Struthio camelus: one gene and its partners. The protein of the gene in region 3 interacts with the protein of the main gene of each other region in a pairwise test. Links are inferred from orthologs where the notes say so. Each region holds a gene or a part of one and is shown on either strand. Other genes may lie near its edges.

The links. The genes of interacting proteins can lie anywhere in the genome.
Region 1: the proteins of LRP2 (region 3) and MAPK8IP1 interact in a two-hybrid assay, tested with the Homo sapiens proteins (2 studies listed by BioGRID). The link is inferred for Struthio camelus from reciprocal best matches to the Homo sapiens genes LRP2 and MAPK8IP1.
Region 2: the proteins of LRP2 (region 3) and MAPK8IP2 interact in a two-hybrid assay, tested with the Homo sapiens proteins (2 studies listed by BioGRID). The link is inferred for Struthio camelus from reciprocal best matches to the Homo sapiens genes LRP2 and MAPK8IP2.

Annotation. Positions count from the first base shown.
Region 1 is NC_090946.1:40,385,044-40,392,614, forward strand, and holds the start of MAPK8IP1 (C-Jun-amino-terminal kinase-interacting protein 1), read right to left. Parts: upstream 3,014-7,571; 5' UTR 2,987-3,013; coding exon 2,874-2,986; intron 1-2,873. UniProt on the Homo sapiens protein: The JNK-interacting protein (JIP) group of scaffold proteins selectively mediates JNK signaling by aggregating specific components of the MAPK cascade to form a functional JNK signaling module. Required for JNK activation in response to excitotoxic stress.
Region 2 is NC_090942.1:659,611-666,482, forward strand, and holds the start of MAPK8IP2 (C-Jun-amino-terminal kinase-interacting protein 2), read right to left. Parts: upstream 3,014-6,872; 5' UTR 2,941-3,013; coding exon 2,876-2,940; intron 1-2,875. UniProt on the Homo sapiens protein: The JNK-interacting protein (JIP) group of scaffold proteins selectively mediates JNK signaling by aggregating specific components of the MAPK cascade to form a functional JNK signaling module.
Region 3 is NC_090947.1:23,838,017-23,845,185, forward strand, and holds the start of LRP2 (low-density lipoprotein receptor-related protein 2), read left to right. Parts: upstream 1-4,156; 5' UTR 4,157-4,220; intron 4,221-4,428; 5' UTR 4,429-4,494; intron 4,495-4,892; 5' UTR 4,893-5,127; intron 5,128-5,197; 5' UTR 5,198-5,322; intron 5,323-5,700; 5' UTR 5,701-5,791; intron 5,792-7,169. UniProt on the Homo sapiens protein: Multiligand endocytic receptor. Acts together with CUBN to mediate endocytosis of high-density lipoproteins. Mediates receptor-mediated uptake of polybasic drugs such as aprotinin, aminoglycosides and polymyxin B.

The sequences.
Region 1 (7,571 bases), on a different chromosome or scaffold from region 3:
CAGCCCCGCGAGGAGCAGCAGCAGCAGCAGCAGGAGGAGCGCGAGGCGCTGTCCGCGCGCCGTGCCCCGGGGAGCAGCCTGTTGCAGGGGGCAACCGGCGCCGGGGGAGCCCGGGCCCTTCCAGCGGGAAGGGCTGGGGGGGACAGGGGCGGCAGCGGAGATGGGGCCGGGCACGGGGGGAGCCAAGGCCACCCGAGGTGTCCACAGCTGGGGACGGCCCTCGGGACGTGGTGAGCGCCCGGCTGCATCGGGGCCAGGGAAGGGGCCGAGAGGCAGCGCGGGAGCCAGCCGGGGCGCTGTGGGGCCGGGGCACCGTGGGGCCGGCGGCCACCGCTCACAGCGTATCTACCGCCAGCCAGCAGCTGCTCAGACAGCGCTGTTTAATGGCCATAGCAACCGAATCCCCCGGGGAGAGCGTGATGCTCGTGGACCTACGGAGCTGGGGGCTGGTGGCGGCAGGCAGGGGACGCAGCACCCAGCTCCCCGCCGCGCTCAGCGGCGGCAAATCACCCCTTTTTGCTCCGTTCATTTCATCACGGACATCGCCATCGCCTGGTTTAAGAGCCACGGCCGTCCGCGCTGGCTGAGGGCGCCGGTGGGGGCTGAGCCCGGTGCGCGGGCAGCGGGGGCCTGGTGCAGACCGCTGCCCTGCAGGCTGCTCCTGGCCCCGGCCCCGTGGTCTGCCAGCGACGCCGCGCCACGGGCCCTCACCCCATCACCGTGGCAGGAGCCCCACGGAGCAAAGCTAGGGTTAAATATTGCACCTTAACAAGAGCCGTTTCTGCCTTTCTGCTCACCCCACCTGCTTTCGTGCAGCCCAGGCTGGGGCAGGAGCTGGCGAACAGCCGCGGGAGAGCGTTCGGTGCCGTTTGGGTCTTGTCTCCGTAGCGCATGCTGGGAACCGATGCTGCCCGGGCGCTGCAGGGCGGCCGACAGGCACCCAGCAGTGTTCCCGAGCTGGGATTTGGCCAGGGCAACACGGCATTATGGATCGGAGGCTCCTACAACCCCAGCTGTCCGGATGCTACTCTGGCACTCTGCTTGGAGGCAGCAGTGTGCAGAAGTCCTGCACCCAGTGTTAGAGCAAAATAAAGTACTTTCCTACGTTTGGCTGGCCTGGGTTTTTCCCTCCATCACAAGAGCCAGACACTCTTTTGTTTAAACCAAAGAGAAGCTACCTCCCTCTCCCTCAGAGCAAGGCAGCACTTTCGTCTTCTATTACCAAAAGAAGGGTAGCCCAGCTCCAACGCCCAGCTCATCGCCTCTGAACAGGCTATTCAGACAGACCAAATGTGTACAGCAGACAGGTAAAACAGCCTATAGTGCTAGGATTGATTTTTGCCTCAGCCTAAAGATGCTTCCTTCAACTTCCTGAAGAGACAGAGAGAGGTCTCCTTCCCCCAGGGACTTTCTTCACTCGCAAGGCCCCAGCAACGGCCATGAAAATGGCTGTGATTTCTTATAGACAGCCAGGCTCCCAGGGGAGGTGGGTAGTTTTCCTCCCCTTTTGTGACCCATGCAAATATCTCCCTTAAGGTTTCCTTCTCTAGAAGCTTTCCAGGTGGATGCTCTCTGCTTTTATTAGGGGACTCAGAAGCAGATACACAAGGATCAACCATTGACCCACAAGGTCCCACACCCTGGCACCCAGCCCACTTAAAGGGCAGCTCTTCTATATTGGAGCTGCGCTCACTGCGGGGCTGCCAGTGCTGAGAGCCTGGCTCCCAGTGAATGCCTATACCCTCTTCTCCTGCTCAAAAGGCATGACTCTCACACCAACTATCCATGGCATACCTGACAAAAGATCAGCTGAAGCATTTTCCCTCTGACCCCACTGCTGCCAGCTCCTCCCCAGTGCTGATGGCTAGCACCAACCCAAGAGCTGGACTTAGGGGGCACAGGGGCAGCATGGCTGGCCTAGATTTCAAGCAGAGCACTGCAGGGCCCTGCACCCAGCTGGATCCCGGCCCCAGTCATGGCAGCCCTCCCTGCATGGCCTCTTACACTCCACCATGGTAACAGCCAGGCCACAGGGCAGAAGGACCCCTGGCCTGGAGAGGGAATGGAGAGCACATCACAGGAAACCTGGCCTGAAATGCTGACAAAGCTTCTTGGCAGAGTGAGGAGCTGAGAAACCATCTCCCAGAGAGAGACGCTAAGCGGTCCAGCTGGGCGAAACCCCCGACGAAGAGGCTTAAGGATAACGTGGAAGATGGGTGAGAACAACTTTTGTATTTCTCTCTCTTAAAATGCTGTTGCTCTTGTTGCAGAGAGAAGCCACCTCCAAGGGTTCTCCTGCTGAAGGAGGGCTCACCTCACCTTCCTTCACGTCCTTCATTGCCTTCTCAGACTATGCCAAACTGTCACCAGTGATGGGGACCTGCCAAAGCATCACCCACAGCCTCATCAGTGCTTTGGACCTCAGTCCATCATGTCCCTTGCTGGCCAGGACAGAATCCTCTCTAGATTAAAGTCAACAGATCTTCTAATGCTTGGGCCTGTATTTTGGCATGCAAGAAGCTGGAATAGTAGACACACATACCAGAAGGGAAAAAAGGTGAAATACCTCATCCTGGCTACAGCACGCTCTGGGAAGGCACAGGGTTCACAGAGTGCTTTGCCTCCTGCCACAGGCTGATTCTTCACCCTGAGCCATGCTCTTAGTTGCCTGCTCCAGTGCAACGCTGTGGGGACCAGCTATGGGAGGATTGCTCCACTTGCTGAGCTGCTACGGCAAGGAAGCAAAGCCTGGGAAAGTCAGACGGCTGGCTATGCACAAGCCCAGCTGCACCAGGTAACAGATCTTGCAAACAATATTTCAACAGTGGGGGGCGGGTGTCACCCTTGCACATCACTCACAACCACAACGTTACCTCTGGTTTCTGAAACCCTGTCGCAGGCTCGGAGACACAACAGTTATTTCCTTCCATTTCAAGACTCTGATGCCGAGCTCGGGGCCTTGGAGACGATCTTGCCATCCGGCCATGACTTCCCAGCTCTCCTCATGGCTCTGACGTCTCCCCTGACAGACTGTCAACTCTTCCCAGGGGAAGGATGCCAGTGTGCTGGGCTCCTTTTCTAAAGATCTGAGTCACAGTAAGGAGCAGCACCTTGTTCTCTCTTCCTGGGGCGTTGCTGTTTCCTTGGGAGAGGGCAGGTGCCCAGGAGACAAATGCTGCACCTAGGACAGCAGCGCGTGGCAAGCCCGAGACTCTTAACAGACCAAAGCGGAGCTCGGCTGCTCAGCCCCTATCACCCAGCTCTGTGGCAAAGCCTTGCTTCTCCACAGTGGACGTTTCCAGAGGCAGTATTTAATTGCTCAATTTGCAGGGTTTATCCAGCCATGTTGCAATAGCTTCCAGCAGCTCTAACAGGCAGCACTGCAATAGGAGGAGGCTGCTGAAGCCCACAGAGCTACCCAGCGAAGGGTCTCCAGAAGCAAAAGTCTGCAGAGACCTTCAGAGATAAAATGTCTAAACCTGCCATAGCTTGACTGCATTTATCTACTTCCTTCCAGGGTCCTGTTGGTCCCCAAGCCTCAGAGGCTGGGGCCTGGCAGAGGCAGAGACAAGTTCAGCTGTCACCCCAAGCATGGACCACCCGCTCTCCCCTCCTCCCCCTCCAAAATCTCACTGCATAAATCACCTGGTACTGACCACCCCTTCTCATGCAGCTCCCAAGCAACTCCACAGCAGCACCCCTGGGCACCAGAGACGAGCAGAGAGCAATGGCTGAAGATGTTAAAGCTGCTACAAGCATTGAGCCTCCCCCCGACAGCAAGCACAAAAATGCCAGGCACTGCCCGCCCAGGCGATAGCCAAGATGCCCCTCATCCACCAAGTACAGCCCCGTCCCAGAGCTGCTCTCAGGAGTCACCAGTGGGTCCGAAGGCCCCGGCCCCGCAGGTCGGCCCCTCTGCCCACACCTGGCCTTGCCATGGCCATCAGGAGCCCTGGCAAGCTGCCCCGCTGGGTTCCAGCCCAGAGACAGCCCCCTGCATCCCAAATCAATGGGAGTGCTCAGTATTTCCGAGTGGATCAATTCTGGCACTCTCACACCTCCTCGCTTTGGGTTCCTGTTTCGCAGGGATGGGAAGGGGGAAGGGGAAGCACCCGGGATTTCCTGGAAAGGGCTAGAAAGAGGCTTTCCTGAAGATGGAGAAAGATGAAGCTTTTTCATGAGGAAGAGATGTGCGAAGAGGAGGCGAGACAGGTAGGGCGGCCGGGGGCTCGGGGCCAAGCGGGAGGCTGGGGGGCCGAGGCGGTGCATGGGCTGGGGGCGCGCCGGGGGGCCCGAGGGGCGATGCGGGGCGGGGGGGGGTGCAGCTGTGCATGCGGGGCTGAAGCGGCTGCACGGGGAGCGGCGCCCGGGGCGGCGGGGGCAGCCCATGCCCCGGGGGGGGGGAACCCGGGGGAGGCGGCCGGTACCTGAAATTGGGGGGCGAGGCGAGGTGCAGCCCCAGGAAGGGGGAGGAGGCGGGCGGGGATGCGGCTCCTTTCTCTCGCTCCGCCATTCTGTGGCTGTCTCCATGCAGGCGGAGGCAGGGAGGGAGGCAGGGAAGGAGGGAGGGAGGGAAGGAAGGAGGGAGGGAAGGAAGGAGGGAGGGGAGGGGGCTGCTGGCGGGGCCGGCGAGCAGGGATGCACCTGCCGACGGGGCGGGGGAGGCGCGCAGGGGGCTGCTGCCCACGGCCCCGGGCGGCAGCTGCAGGACAGATGTGCCGCAGCTGGAGGCAGCGCCGCGCCGCACCCCTCCCCGGGCAACGCCGGCCTTGCCTGCAGGGCAGATGTGCCCACAGCTGGACATAGCGCCCCCAGGTCAGATGCACCCGCAGTCGGAGGCAGCGCCCCCGGGACATGTCCAGAGCTCCTGGGGCCCTGGGGCCCGACCCAGTGGGGCAGGCCGGGGGGGCGAGGGAGCAGGGGGAGGCTGCTGCGGGCAGAGCTGAGTAGCAGCCCTCAGCCCCAGGGGGAGGACAGGCTGCACTCCCTTGCAAACCCTGTCTTCTGTCCCCCCATGCCGCCAAAGCCTAGGAGGGTTGTAAGCCAATCAAGGGGACTTAAAAGGCCGATTTCACATGTTCCACATACCCATAAGGGAAAAAGTGCATCTCCAGGGCCCAGCTTTCTCTCCAGAGCACACAGACCTACTCTTGCATCCCACTGTGGCTCAGGGGAGCCAAACCTGTCTTATAGTGACAGAGCGTTACCCTCTGCTACCTTTCTTCACCAGCCTGAGCAGCAGGTTTCTTTCCCGTATCTCTCCTTCCCATGCTTTGCAGGCTATCTCATAAAACTGAGAGGCGTGCTGTGCACAGAAGTGGACATCAGTATTTCTAGGTCCCAAAGCTGATGCGATAAATGAATAGGTGAACTTTTAATATTCCCTTCATGCCCACTGCACTCCCAGTTACCATACGCACATGCCCACGGCAGTCCTGGAGTGGGTGGGCAGGCAGCGGGCAGTGTTGCCTCAGCCGTTCAAACTTTAAAGACACAACAGGTCGCATCACTGTTTCTCAAGCCACAGAACTAATTGTCTTTGAGACAACAGTATTAATTTCTTGGCAAAGACCCAGGATATCAGCTGCTCCTACAGAGAAGAGCAAGCAGAGCCCTCCAAGGCACAGAACCCTGCTCTCACTTGGGAGTCTTGATCTTCTGCCAAACTCAAGAGAGATGTTACTCCTGGGCCAGCATGGAGTCAGGCATGTAACCACCAGCTCAGCCGTTGCAGGTACCTTTGGGGCAGCCTCCCAAGGGGTGCTACTCGTACCCTTCACAGTTTGCATACACAGAACAAGCCGTCTTCCATCCAGCACCTACAACTCATTGCCCTCCACTGAGGGCCTGGGAGAGCTTTGACACTGCTCCATCTTAAAGCACAAGCCTCAGCTACTGAAACACAATTCATCCGTGGCATGGCTGTGGGGTTTGACCTCTGTCTTGGGGAGCAGGTAAGGCTGCCTCCGCCTCCTGCGGGCAGATCACCACGAATGCATCTCACCTCGCTTTGGGAAGCGAAGCGCACTGAGCCCCCCACTCAGTCCAGGCATCAGGCCAGGCTGGCAGTAGACTCATTTTAGCCTTCCTAGCTGCACCAGCACCGTTCACACCTATCCCCTCACGTGCATAGTAGCCCATTGCCTGTGGCAAGAACAGTGAGATGCCTGTGCTGGGAAGCATAGCTTCCTTCCAGACCAGCAGGGAGAGCAGCACAGCAGAGGCTAAATCTGGCTTCCAAACTATGCAGGACCTCTAGTGGCTTGTCACTAGTTGGCCCAGCTCGTGGGATGTAGTCATCTAAACCAGGCACTCACTGGAGAGTGCTACAGCCCTGCTCCTACCTTAGCTGGGCCCACACCGCATCAGCTCCTCAGGCCTGGCACAGTAGTACCTCTTGCAGAGAGCAAGCAACCCTGCTTTACTGCTCTGGCTCCTGCGGAGCCCTGGCAGTCAAGGCAGGAGCTTCAGAGGGTGCTTTCTCCCTGCTACGTGCACAGCAGCCTCTCTCACTTCAGGGCAGACCCTCTCCCAGTAGAAAGTCTCCTGTTGCTGTAGAAGCAGTCCACTTTCCCAGTGACCCTCCTTTGGGTCCTGTCTTCTCCCAGGGACAACTGTGCCCCAGTGCATCATGCTCTCAATAGAGAAAGAACCATGACTGAGGTTTCTGCTCCAGCTGTCAGCAGAGGAAGAGGGCTGCAGGGTCTACAGGCCAAAGCTACGTGCCCTATCAAAGGCCCCAGGACATGTTAAACATGTGAAACAGACTGTGACAAGTCTCCTTAAGGAATCCTTGAGCACTGGGATCAAACAGCTGTGCCCAGCCCTGATAGCCATGCACCTGATACCAAATCAATCCCTCAGCATTGCCCCCTTTTTATTCCCTGGTAGGCTCCCTCACCTGAGGCAGAGCAGCAGTGGCTGTGCCATGCTCTGCATGGCAACTGCTGCAGCACGCCTCATGCCCACCAGAGCCCTGTAGCCTCCTGGCACAAGAAGGGACAAACGGCTGGAGCACAGCATGGCTTCCCCCAAGTCCCCCTCGCTGCAGCTGCCAGTCAAAGGACAAATGCTTCCAGGGACAACATGAGACAGTTTTCTCTCACAGTGGCCTATACTGCTGTGGAAAAGCATCCAGCATGTTTGCAGCTGGGAATGATCTGGGATAGCAAAGTCTATTAATAACCTTTTGTTTGTGCCCTGGATGCCTCTCTCATGCCTGTCAGTACCCAACTTCTTTTCTCCGGATGCTGCTGATGTTGTGACCCGCTAGCTGCCATCAAACCCTCTGCACAGGGGAAACCCCATCCAGCTGCCCTGAGGAGCCAGGCAGGCTGCCCTGCCTGCAATGGGAATGCACTGGCTGGCCAAGGTGTGGGAATTTGAGAATGAGCTGTTCCTCCCAAGTAGGTTCACTGTAAGGGGAGTAAAATAAAAATCTAAACAAAACCCCAGAGAACTGTTCCTTGGGGAAGATTGTTAGGTCACACCTAACACTTGGACATCAAGTAAAACAATTTGATGGACCTGCAACATGCAGTCAGCTCATTTGAGGCCACAGGCCTGGGCTA
Region 2 (6,872 bases), on a different chromosome or scaffold from region 3:
GCGAGGAGACCCCAAGCAGTGTGCAGGGGGTGCAGTTTGGCCTGCCGCAGCCCGGCTGAATGCAGCGGTGCGCGCTGCACCTTGCAGGCAGCACGGCAAGGCGCTGGGCGCACGGGGCCTTCCTGTGCCCTGGCTGTGTCTTGGGGGCCAGCACCAACTCAGGCCCATTCCTGCAGACGGGCATGAACGGTCCAGCAAAGACGCAGCGCGCACAGCACCGTGCTGCTGCCACGCGGGGCTCCAGGCCCCTTCTGCTGGCAGGAGCAGGGGGCACCCCCCGCAGCGCTGCTCGCCGGAGAGGAGCCTGCAGACCCCCTGCTCCGTGCAGACCTGCAGCCTTTGGTGCAAGCTCCCTGGGCACATGAGGAGCAGAGACCACTGGCAGCCAGGGAGTCCCCAGGGATTTGACCCAGTTTTCCTGGCACAGGGGTGCAGCTCCTGCACCCCGCGCCCTCCTCCTGGCTAGGAGCAGAGCGGGTCCAGTAGCCAACGCAAAACGGTCACTGCTCCTTTGCCCTCTGCCCTGCCACCAGGCTCCTCCACTGCCCCTCGGCTCTGCTCAAAGCCGGTGTCAGGGGCCTTAAACGCCAAACGCTCCTGCACGAGCCAGAGGGAAGATCGATCGTCTGTGGCTAGGAGAATAACAGATGTGACTAGAACAGGAGCCAGGCTGCTGCTGTTTGTCCCTCGCAGAGCACAAGGACAGAAGGAGACGTGGAAAAGCAGCGTATCACTACGGGACAGGAGGAGAGGATTTCCCTGCCGGGGGGTCTCCAGCCAGTGGAACTCACTGCCACAGGAGCAGAAGCGTTTGCAGAAGGAGATGCATGAGATGTGGCTATGGCCAAGAGCACGGTCGCGGGTTGCAATGCCCTCCATGGGCTTGAACTCCCCAGGGGGCAGGAGCCAGCCCCCTCCTCGACCCAGAGCTCCCCCACGCCCCCGAGGGCTCCAGCCCCGCTGCCTCGTACGGCCCAGCTTGGGAGTGTGCAGGGATGCATCCCCGGGCCAGACCTGACACCGCAACCTCAGTGGTAACCTGCTACGGGCCAGCTCTGATCCCCCTCGTGCCACACAGCAGGGCAGGGCCTCCAGGGGGATGAAGGGGGAGAGTTGTGCAGGGGATCCCTGCGAGGAGGATGCGACCACCCGGAAAACGCAGCCCCTGGGGAATTGCTCTGGGCCCAGATGCCAAGCGGGAGGCAGGAAGGAGCAGAACAGCCATGGCAAAGGCAGAGGCTGTGTCCTCCCCACCGCGCTCCCCATGACACCAGCGCAAGGTCCCACCACGACCCAGGGACAGGGATGACCTGGGAAGCAGCCACGAGACCTGCTCAATGTGGGTCAGAGCCAGCCAACGAAGATGTCCAGCATCCCAACTAAACCTCAGCTCCTCTGGTCCTCAGGGCCTCCCTAGGTACCCACCACCACCACCATCACCTCCCACCCTCCATCCAGCTGCCGAGACCCCGCTGCCCCATGCTGGGCCAGCCTGGCTTGGCCACCGCCCGGCCTCCCCACCCTGCTGGCACGGCTCCCATCCAGCCCCACACACCCCATGGCCCCCAGCCTGGGCTGCACCCCAGCCCTGCCAAGCCCACCAGCAGGGCTAGGGGGTGAGAGCCTTGCCGCGTCCACCCTCCCCGCTCTGTGCCAGTCCGGCTGGCAGCTTGGCCCTGCCGCCTCCAGCTCCTGCAGGACCTGCTGGAAAGGTGACCTGCGTCAGGCTGCACCCGGGCCCGGGCACTCCTCCCGCGGCGGAGAGGGGCCTGGGAGCCACTGCTTTTAGCAAGCACCATGTTTCCCCACGTTAGACCTCGGAAGCGCCGAGCCTGCTCGGACGGAGCAGCTCGGGCAGGTCTCTGGGGCGTCTGCCGAGAGCGAACCAAGCCAAAGCTCCTTCCCCACGCGCCAACAACAGGGCTTCCCATCGCAGGCCAAACCTGGCTGGCAACCCCTTCCCTCGCGCCAGCGCGCGCTGAACCGCCAGGCCCCCCCGAGAGCACAGAGCCGCCGGGCCCGGGAGGGCCTGGTTTGCGGCGTGAACAACAGGCAGAGCCCCCAGGAGCGTTGCGGGAGGGACGGAGGCGCAGCGCGTGTCAGGAGAGACAAAGAGACGCCAGCCGGTGCCGCTTCCCCGCAGCCCCCGGGGACGCGGCGGGGCAGGGGTCGGACCCCGGGCGGCTCTGCCCTCCGCGGCGCGGGGCTCCCGGCGGACGGGGAGCGGCTCGGCCCGGTTCGGCCCGGCCCGGGCGATGCGGCGGAGGCTGCTGCAGCGCTAATCGCCGCCACGGGAGCTGCGCCCGCGCGGGGGAAGGGCCGCTCGGCGCGCACGGCCCGGACGGGGCCCCCGCGCCCCCGATGGACCGGCCCGGCCCGGCCCGGCCCGCGGCAGCAGCATCGCTGGGCCGGAGCGGAGCGGGGCGGCGGCGGCGGCTCCGCGGCCCCAAGGTGAACGGGGAGACGGAGAGCGGCAGCCAAACTTCCCGCAGGACGCGGGGCCCCGCTGCGGGACGGCGGCGCCGGGCGGCCCCGCTGCGGCCCCCCCGGCCCGGCCGCGCGGCCCCGGTCCCGGTCCCGGTCCGGTCCCGGCCCGCAGCCAGCGCCAAGGGCGGCGCGTCGGGCCGAGCCGAGCCGGGCCGGGCCGGGCAGAGCCCGCAGCGCAGCGCCGCGCCCGCAGCGCGGCCCCAGCGCCCCGGGCGGCACCGCACCGCACCGCACCGCACCGGGCCGAGCCGAGCCGCACCGGGCCGAGCCGGGCCGGGCCGGGCCCCGGGCCGCCCCGCCCCAGCCCCGCCGCCCCACGCACGCACGGCCGCGGCGCGGGGCCGGACCGGGCCGGGCCGAACCGAACCGAAGCGGGCCCGGGGCTCACCTGCAGCCCGGCGGGGAGAGCGAGTGGAAGGTGGAGAGCGAGAACATCTCGGCGCGATCCGCCATCTTCTCCCGGCCGGGGCTGCGCCGGACTGCGGAGCTGCGCGGGGCTGCGCGGGGCCGCGCTGCGGGCGGGGCCGCGCGGGCACCGGGGCGGCGGCGGCGGCGGGAGCGGCGGGGGCGGCGGCGCGGAGCGGAGCGGGGTGCGCGGGGGGCCGGGGCCGGGGCGGGCGGCGCGCTGGGAGCCTTATAGCGAGGGAGGAGCTGGGGCGGTGCGGGAGGGGCGGGGGCCGCCTCGGGGGGAGAGGGGGCTGCGGGGGGAGGGCGGCTGTGGGGCGGGGGGGTGGGGATAGGGGGCTGTATGGGGAGGGGAGGGGGGACGTACGGGGAAGGGGAGAGGGGGGATGGAGGGGGAGGATGTGTGGAGAGGGGAGGGGGGATGTATGGGGAGGATGTATGAGGAGAGGAGGGGGGATATATGGGGAGGGGAGAGGGGGATGTATGGGGAGGGAACGGGGGGGTTGTATAGGGAGGGAACAGGGGGTGTATGGGAAGGATGTATGGGGAGGGGAGGGGGATGTATGGGGAGGGAACGGGGGGATGTATGGGAAGGATGTATGGGGGAGGGGGATGTATGGGGAAGGGGAGAGGGGGGATGTATGGGGAGGATGTGTGGAGAGGGGAGGGGGGATGTATGGGGAGGGAACAGGGGATGTATGGGGAGGATGTATGAGGAGAGGAGGGGGGATGTATGGGGAGGGAACGGGGGATGTATAGGGAGGGAACGGGATGTATGGGAAGGATGTATGGGGAGGGGAGGGGGATGTATGGGGAGGGGAAGGAGGATGTAGGGGGAGGGGAGAGGGGGATGTATGGAGAGGGGAGAAGGGGCTGTATGGGGAGGGGAGAGGGGCTGTCTATGGAGGGGGGCTATATAGGGAAGGAAGAGGGGGATGTATAGGGAGGAGAACAGGCAGAAGTGTATAGGGAGGGAAGTGGGGGATGTATAGGGAAAAGAGGGGTTGTAAAGGGAGGAAGAGCAGGGAGGACTGGGAGGCTGTCTATGGAGGGGGGGACTGTATAGGGTGGGGAGAAAGGTAAGTATAAGGAGGGGAGAGCGAGTGGTATAGGGAAAGGAGAGGGGGCTGTCTATGGAGAGAAGGGGGGATGTATAGGGAGGGGAAAGAGGGCTGTATAGGGAAGGGAGAGAGCCATATAGGGAGGAGAGCAGGGAGGAACGGAGGGCTGTCTATGGAGGGGAGAGGGGGTTGTATAGGGAGAGGGACAGGGAGGAGTGGGGGGATGTAGAGGGAGAGGGGAGGGGGCTGTATAGGGAGGAGAGCAGGAGGCAGTATGGAGAGCAGGGGTGTGTTCAGGGCCACAGGGGCTGTATAAGGAGGGACAGGAGGCTGCACAGGGCTGCTCTGCGGGGAAATGCAGAGGGCTGTGCAGGGGCTGCGTAGGGGGGGCACAGGGCTACGTAGGGGCCTGCACAGGGGAGGTGCAGAGATGTATAGTGAGGTGCAGGATTGTGCAGGACTGTGTAAGTAGGTGAAGGGTTGTATAGGGCAGTGTAAGGCTGTGTAGGGACCATGCCAGGAGGGCTATATAGGGCGGTGCAAAGCTGTACAGGACTGTGCAGGGCTGCATGGAGCTGTGCAGGGGGCTGTACAGGGAGGTGCAGGGTCATATAGGGAGGTGCAGGGCACCACAGGGCCATGCAGGGGGCTACATAGGGCTGTATAGCAAAGTGCAGTGCTGCATAGGGAGGCACAGTGCTGCATATGGAGGTGTAGGGCCGTATAGGGAGGCGCAGGACTGCATAGGGAGATGCAGGGCTGCACAGGACCATGCAGGAGGCTATATAAAGCCATGCAGGGCTGATTAGGACCATACAGGCTGTATGGGACCATGCAGGACTGTATGGGGCCATGTAGGCTGTATAGGACCATGCAGTCTGTATGGGGCCATGCAGAACTGTATAGAGCCATGCAGGCTGTATAGGACCATACAGGTCTGTATGGGGCCATGCAGGCTGTATAGGACCATGCAGGACTGTATGGGGCCATGCAGGACTATATAGGGCCATGCAGGCTGTATAGGACCATACAGGACTGTACAGGACCATGCAGGCTGTATAGGACCATGCAGGACTGTACAGGACCATGCAGGCCGTATGGGGCCATGCAGGACTGTATAGGGCCATGCAGGACTGTACAGGGCCATGCAGGCTGTATAGGGCCATGCAGGTTGTACAGGGCCATGCAGGCTGTATAGGGCCATGCAGGCTGTGCAGGGAGGCGCCGCGCTGCGCAGCCCCGGGCCGGGCCGGGCCGGGGCGGGAGGCGGCCGAGGGCCCCGCGCGGAGCTGTCCCCGCCCCGGTGCTGAAGCCCGGAGCTGTCCCGGCGCCGCCGCTGCCGGCCCGGCCCGGGGCTGCTCCCGGGGGCTGGTGCTCCGGGCCGCTCTCGGGGGCTGCTCCCGGGGGCTGATGCAGGGCTGATCCCAGGGGCTGGTACCGGGCTGATCCCGGGGGCTGGTACCGGGCTGTTCTCGGGGGCTGCTGTCAGGGGCTAATGCAGGGCTGTTCTCAGGGGCTGCTCTCGGGGGCTGCTGCCGGGGGCTAATCCTGGGGCTGATCTCGGGGCTGACGTCAGGGGCTAATGTCGGGGGCTGATCACAGGCTAATCTCGGGGGCTGATTGCGGGCTGGTGCCAGGGGCTGATGCCAGACTGATGTCAGGGCTGATGTTGGGGACTGCTGTCGGGGGCTGATGCTGGGGCTGACGCCAGGGCCTGATGCCGGACTGATGTCAGGGCTGATGTCGGGGGCTGATGCCGGACTGATGTCAAGGCTGATGTTGGGGGCTGATGTCGGGGGCTGATGCCGGGGCTGATGCCGGACTGATGTCAGGGCTGATGCTGGGGGCTGATGCCCAAGGCTGATGCTGGGGTTGATGCTGGGACCTGCCCAAGGCTGTAGACCCACTACAAGGCAGGGGCATCTGGGCCAGCTGGGCCCGGGGGTCAGTTTGCCTTGCAGGGATCAAGACAGGTGGGGGAGTCTGGGGATGTGGAGGAGCCATATGGGGCCCTGCAGGACCCCGAGGCATTGGGGGGGGGTGTCTGTGCAGTGGGGGCAGGGTATAGTGGGGGTCAGAAAGTGGAGGGTGTCTGGCGCACTGTGGGTGCAGGGTGCAGTGAGAGGGGCCAGGAGGCAGTGGGAGTCCAGGAGGCAGTGGGGGAGGCCAAATGCAGTGGGGGCTGGAAAACAGTGGGGACACAGAGGCACAGGGGGTCTGTGCATTGGGGAGACCCAAAGGTGGTGGGCCCAGTGGCAGTGGGGGGGGTCCTATATAGTATGGGGCACAGAAGGCAGTAGGGGGATCTGGGGAACAGCAGGTCCCCAGAGTCAGTGTGTGTGGGGTGTGGGGGGGTCCGTGCATGGGGGAACAGGATGCAATGGGAGGCCCAGTAAGCGGTGGGGGCACCAGAGGCAGTGGGTGTCAAGGGGGCTGTAAGAAGACATACAGGAACTGGAGGCAGTGGGTGAGCAGGATACAGCAGGGGGGATCTGAAGGCAGAAGGGATTCAGGATGCAGCACGGGAGTCTGCGCGCTGGCGGGCAGGTGGCACTGGGGGTCCACAGGCAGTGGGGCCCAGGGGTGGTGGGCCTGGGTGCACCCGCCCCTCTCTGCAGCTGCCCGGCCCGTGCTTGGGAACTGGCTCACAGCAGGATTGCTGCAGCTGCTCCCGTGGGACCGCCGGGCCAGCCTGGCCAGGGCACTGTGCTGGGCCCCAGGGACCTGTTGTGCGGATCCCCCTCTCCGACTGCTTGCCGCAGGCCCTGGCAGCTCCAGGGCAGAGGGCTTGGACCGGCGGGGCCCCGCTCGGTCCGCTGCCCTTGGGCCTGACCGGAGGCTGCAATGCCGCCCCGTTGTGCACACCGTATCCTGCAGAGAGGCTGCACTGCAGGGCCTGAGCCACCATGTGGGGGGGGG
Region 3 (7,169 bases):
GTATTCAGGTTTTTAGAATAAAGCAGTGATGGGAATTCTACATGCTTATTTGATAGTGGCACCCAAAGGTCTAATTCGGATGAAGAGTTAATTGGATGGAACACTGTACGAATATAATTAGGCTCAAAGATGGTTAGTTTAATGAAAAGCATTGCTTGAAATATCCTTATGCCCTCTATATTTAGAAAAAGTGCAACATGGGCAGTAATGATAGCAGATTCTTTAGCCTGAATTTGAAAATATGACCCATACAGAAGCACCTTTTGCTATGAAAAGTTATCTGCTTTTCTGTAACATATATGGTTGAGGGTCCTGGCTGCAATTGCCTCCCTTCAGAAATTGGTCAGATGCTACAGATTTTTAAATCTCCAAAATAATATTTCTCTTTCGTAGACTTAAGATATTCTATAATATGGGAGATCTGTTATTTTTATGTTTTTAACCATTAAACAAATCCCAGAGAAAACGATATATTGAATAACTTTCTTCAAATTTGATCTGATTATGATACTGTTAAAACCTAAAAGTCACACTAAAACTGAATGCTGTCCACAAATCCCTAGTCTTTCACTGTTTACCTCAGGACGAATGTGAGAAGGTGACAAGTGTCTTTAAGGTACTTTTTACCCTTCTGTAATCCTGGTTTATGGGGATTTAAACATCTCTGGCATAATAAGTAGTCAACAGACTGCTCTATCTCCTATATAGTTGTCCAGGGATCACTGGGAACTAGGAAAATATAGACACTATAGTGTTGTACCTCTCTCTCTGCCTGGTATGCACTCTAGTTGTAGTCTGCAGTAGGATCTGCTCTGGTGACCTTGACTTGTGTTCGGTGTGCGTGAGGATTTTATAGAGGGAAGTCAGCTCTAACCAAGTGCTTCATAATTGTGACTCTGACTTTATGTCTTGTTCTGCAACTTTATCAATCTGTGAGTTTAGATAAGAAGTAGCTGTTGTACTATATAACAAGAGTAATAGGAACTACTACACTTAACAATTACATTATCTTTTTCTTTGCAATCCTGTTTGCTGTCTCTTGCAACTTAATCCTTAAAGAAGCAAGTTAATGTCTGCAAGGAGATATTAGGAAAAAAAGGAAGAAATTGGGAAGGAGGAAGGAAAAGGAAATGGCAGTTAAATCCTGATTCATGTTGTGATAAGTGAGAGTATAGTAACAGAAATAAAGGGAAGACCGTCATGTACTTTAAGAGAACAGTAAATGGCTTTTGGTGCTGTGGCTCTAAGAGCAAAATTTAGCATTAATGTGCTAAATTATCAAATTTCATCAAAATTATCATCAAAATTATCATCAAAAATAACTTGGTGCAGAAATGGAAAAGTGCTGGCGATAACAGATTATATAATTTCTTTTGAATCTCTACTGATTATAGTTAATACTTCAGTTTTTGAAACAGTTATAATCTGATGACGTTTGGAAAAGCTGAATAATAAGTAAAACAGAAAAAAGTTTCCTGTATTTTGAATGTGTGTTGTAAGGAGTTTTATTGAAGCTAGTTTACCTGAATTGATTTAAAAGATGAAAAAGTTCCTCTAAAGCTAATGTATTACTGGATTTGTGAGAGCTGTCAAAGCCCAAACAAGATGAAAGCAACAGTGATTATTGGCAATGAGCTGCATAAAGGAACAGATATGACTAAATCGTATTACAAGGTGGCATGGTGGGATGCCCATGTTAATTATTGAGGATGTACATGTCTGTCTCGAATTCTCACTAGGTCTCTTTGCTGTATATGGAGAGAGGTCTCTAATTCCGCAACATGGCTCAGCAGAACTTTTCTCTGTTAGTCTTTACTTCTGCAGTTCTTAGCGTCTTCAGTGGAACCAAATGCTTTTTTTCTGTTTGCCTGCAGGATGATGACAGCTTTTTAAATGAGAGCTTTACCATTGCTATACGTGCCTTGCTCTTCAGATTGACAAACCTTGAAGACCATTCAGAAATGGCAGCTGATAAAAATTCAGGAGTTTGATTGCCTGAAAGGTTGACTTGAAAAGTAGCTGTTGACTACAATGACTTCTTGCTTACTGCTAGGACAACTAAATATATGCTTTCTAAAGTCATCCACGGTTTTTATCACCTTTGCTTGAAAAGCACCTTATTTTCTTCCTGCAATAGATCAAGGCATCTGATGTTTCACTTCGGTAATGGTTAAGGGAAAGTGATGACTTACTGCTGATAAATGTCAGCTGAAACTGCTGAACTTCAGAGTTTTCCCTTGTTAGTCTAACAGAACCAGAGTTTAACCTTTTGTCCCAAAACTTAGATTTTTTTTTTAATCCAGAAGAAAACTTTTTAACTGTGACTAGCGGATTTCATCTGAACATTTTATGAACTGAAGACATACTTATTGGCATGTACTTGATCATCCATCAGCTTTTTGCAGGTAGGTGGCAACAGTAATATATCAGGACTGCTGACTCTTCACTTCCTTTCTCCATTGTGTAATAATTAACTGGGTATTCAGCTTAATAATTCAAAGGTCTAAGGTTTGAGGCTTGTTCTCTTAATTATTTCTAGTGAGTATTTTGACTAAAACGCTACAATATGAATAAAATATAACTTTCAGCTTAAAATGAGGGTTCAAGCTCATGGCCTTCAAATTAATAAAATGGCTCTTCTGTTGTACCTAATCAGCCACAAAGGATCGTGAGGATTTTCATTAGTATCTCTTAAACTGTTTGACATGGAGAGAGACAGCTCTAGCTTTTCTGGAAAGGTTAAATATTAAACAGTCATTCCTAAAGAACAAGAGGAGTTTTTAATATCGAGGTGAATATGGCATGTAACTTCCTCTTTACTTCTAATGGCTTGTGACTCTGACTTTACAATGGTGCTTAAACACAATTGTTTATCTTAAAGAAAAAAGCAATGAACCACCCCTCAAAGCCTTCTAAGAGAGCAGTAATTACAATGGGTATGTTGTACAGCTCTGTTTGTATACATTGTTTCAAACTTGCAGACAACTGTTCCAGTGGAAATGTAGGTAAAATGGGTAAAGAATGTGTTCCAGTTTCTTGACTATGCACTTCAGCTTTCAGTGTAGTGCAGCTGCACTAGAAACTGAAGTGTTATGGATCTGAAGCTTCTTAAGTTAAGCACCATAAAAGTAACTTTCCTGTTGCTTATAATTTAAGATCTTATCCTGAGCAATGTTTATCACCCTGTCTTCAAAAGAGTAAAACAGCAGGAGGTACCCTTTACCGTGATAGGGTCTTTAGAGGTAGCCTAATCAGGAAAATCTGAAATGCTTAAACTGTGCAGTATATAGTGATAGTAACTTCTATACGCAAGAAAGAGCGATGAGAAGGAGGAGGAATTCAGTTAAATATCTTACAAAATACAAAACAAGCCATTAAGCTGTGTTTTGATGTTCAGCTTTTATCTCACAGTGCTCTATTTTGTAAAGTAGCTATAAAAATAACGTTGTGTGCTCTCCTGATGATAGCTCAGCTAGGGTTCAATCTGATGAAACGTTGGCATGAACAGTAAAGTCAATTTAAGAATGCTGCACCCCTACCGCTGATTGCAGCGCTCTCAGGCATTTGTGGGACTGTGCTCTAAGTCAGGTACAGCAGTCGGCTCTTTGTTGAGGACCTGCAAAGAGGGGGACAAAAGGGAGGGTAAATTGCAATGCTTCAGCTTAGAGGGAAGATGGATAAAGGGAGCAGGGTGGACTTCTGAAGCCAGTTACCTTGCTTGCCAAAGTCTGTGCTCACTGAACTGTCCTCTATCTCATTCCTGTGAACAGTGCCTCAAGGAGGAGAGATTTAAAAAAAAAAAATTTTTTTTCCCAATTATTGTAATCCTTTTGACCTCATGTGTTCATGAGTTTGGTCTCTTCCTGTCAAAGTAGTTTTGCAGGTTGGCTGAATCAGGTACTATTTTCAAAGCTAACACTTCGAGAATTGTTCCTTAGTGATCCCTTAAGAATTGCTAAAATGTGACTTATCTCAAGCTACTCTACTTTCTTCATTCTTATTTTCTCCATTTAATTGAAAATTAAACTAAACAAACATTCATACTGTAAATATCTCAATATACAGCTAAGTGGTTGGTATGCACCAGGTATAGGGGTATAGGATATATTTTTGTCATGCACTAAATATCTTTCTTCTCAGAAAGACTTTGTTTCATCGGACTGTTGCTGTCTAGTCATCTTCTTCAACTAGCGTGAAGACTTGCTCACAAAGTTCATGCAGTAAGACCATATTTTCAGCTTTTCTATTAAGTAGGCAGTGGTTAATCTCTAGCTCTCTGAAATTCATATCAAAACTATAAGATTCTATTATCTGCAAACCCTGTGCTGCTAAACCATGTTCTCTTTTCCTTAATGTCATTATCATGTTTTTGGCCTGGAATTCAAATTAATAAGCCACTAATCTGAAGGATTATTTATCTTTTCTCAGGTGCTTTGGAAGGACTACTGTTGTGATCTCTGGAGCATTTGATTCTGGCTCTTAGAGGAACAGGAGGTAACAGTTCTTAGCATGAGGGAGTCCTACTTTGAAAGATGTTTAGTCTGAACACAGCTGAAATTCACTACTAATATGGTTGTTTGGCTTCTGCCCCACACCAAGGACAATATGACAGACAGTAGATACTGTTGTCTCTTTGGTAATTAACTCTTTGAATTCTGTGGAAAGGGAGAATGAAAGTAACTTGTGGGACAGGCTAACTTGAATAATATATTAAGGAATAGTAATCTTCTCTCTTACTAGGTTTGCTCAGTGTTATCTCTTATAACATCATGTTTGGATTTGCTTATAACAGTTGCCACAATGAATGATATACTGTTTTCCTGTCCCTGCCTTTTATACTTCATATTTTTCTCTCAGAAGAGGTTTGGTAATTTTCTCTTGGATTTTTCTAGCTCTCATCTGTGAAGTACCTCTGATCTTCAGCTAGTTTTATGCATAGAAGGTGATGCACAGAGGGATTACGGTTGTTAAAATATTTGCAATGCTGCACAGGCTTGGATGACAGAAGGAAAGTTGTTGGAAAAACAGCAAGATGACAAGGACTTCAGTCTCGCTTTTTCTTCAGCATAGCTGAATCATCGCGTGTAAAGGATGTTGGAAGTTATTCCAATCCCTTCTGTTTCCCTTGTGAGTATCCTAACAAGTTTTAGACAACAAGTCGTTTGGAAATGCTTCTTTACTTCTCATTTCTCTTCAGCTACAAATCCCATATGTTGCCGCCTTGTAGGGGAGCGCATACACTGAAGGGCCAGGGCACTGGAGCAAAATAGAGATGCTCCAGTCCTCACACAGGCAGTGCAAAAGAAGTCTACTTGCAGAAAAGTAAGTACTAAGAACTTTGGTAACCAGAGATGTAGCTGGGGCAAGACTTCCCTGTGCTGGGTTTGTGACTATGTCTCCAGCATGGGGCACAGGGACATGCAAGCTGGACGAGACAGTGCCAACCAAAGGGATAGTGGCAGGGGCAGATTTGGAGTTGTTTAATATCTCTTCCCTTCTTTCCACCTTCCAGACAGGGACACCCTCTCATATCCATACTATTATTGTTAAACTCCATCACAGGCCCATTGCTGGGAGTGAGGGGAAAGCACAGGGGGTGTTTGGAAGTTCATTTTGTGAGCCTCTCTCTGCTAATCTCACTTTTTAAGTGGCAGTTACCAAAACAGTGCATAGTTCTCACGTGCTGCTTTTGAGTTCCAGGGCACTGTGATCCAATTCCAGGTTAAAAGACAGAAGTGGTCATGTACTGCTGAGCAGGAGACAGTGAGGAAACCTCTCACCATGATGCCAGGTGCATTGTGTAGTCCTCACTTTGCGATTTCTGTTCTGGCCTGATTCACTTCTTTTGGGTTTAATGTTTCTCACGTTCACGTGGACTGGGGATCCACCTTGGATCCAGTGTGTTTGTCTTCTAGAAATGTCTCTGAAGATGAGGTTGCGTTAGGTGCTTGGGAGCCATACCAGCCAAGGCCCTCTTTTTCTTAGTTTGAGGTTAGATGGATTTTTTAAAATCCTTGAAAAAATATTTCCCTGACAAATAACTGCCATTGTTTTTAACACTGTGAAATGTGATGTGGCTAATACGAGAAGCTTGGTGAGCTCAGTGCTGTTTTCTACTTTTCTCCTCCTTCTGTTAAGGAGTTGAAATCAATACTGGCTCTCTACCTAAATTCCATCCAAGCGCTCTAAAACATGACCTTCCTATTAATGGAAACTCCTGCTCACGCTACGTGCACCTAGAGAGATTAAGTTGTGAAGTCCCAATATGCATCAGTACTGTGGCCCCCGTGCATACCAAGGAACTATGTCTGCTCCCTCTGAAATCTGATGGCTTTGATGCAAACTCAGTTGTGCCTCAGGTGAAGGTAAAAAGAAAATGCCTTAAGAGTCCCTCCTTGCAATAAATAGCCCTATAGGAAAGGAGGTCTCTAACACACACGTATATATTGTAGGTTGCTCTAAAGCAGAGATCTGTTAAATAAATAGGACCCTTTATGTGGTAGGATAGCAGAGATGGATGAAATCCAAAGAATGAACTGTTGCTGCTGGGGACTACTACCCAGGCAGAGACTGGGTCATTTTTACTTTAGATTTGTATGTGTTGTCATACCAGTATTCTCTCAAAACACGAGCACATCTGTAGGTAGCCTTGCTTTAGTATGACTTCAAAATAATAATAATAATAGAAGAAAGCTTGCCATGCTAAAGGCATAGGATTTAATGATGAAACTTCCATGTGAAGCTGGAAACAGATTGTAACAAAAAAAAATGTTTTCTATTTGGAAAAACCTGGGTTTATCCAAGGACAGACTGACCACAAGATTACTGAATGCCAGTGGCAATAACAGCTTTACTAGTTAATGCACTGGGCAGATCCTCAGCCCCTGCAAACTGTCCTAGCCCTGAGAAAGTTCAAAAGAGACAAATTTACATTCAGGTGCATATCTGAATTTATTTATTCAAGTGAACATATCTTGTTCTTTTATTAGCCATCACCTTTTTGTCTCTGTCCAGTAATACATCAACTGTGGTGTTTCTATCTGGCTGTTAAGAATTGGCTGAGTTTTGATGCTGTAAATTAGAACTGAACCCTGGTCAAAAATCAAGCCTTTAATTTTTAACTTTGTTGGTTAGCAGGCATCTTTTAATGTGTAAGCAACGTGGCCGTT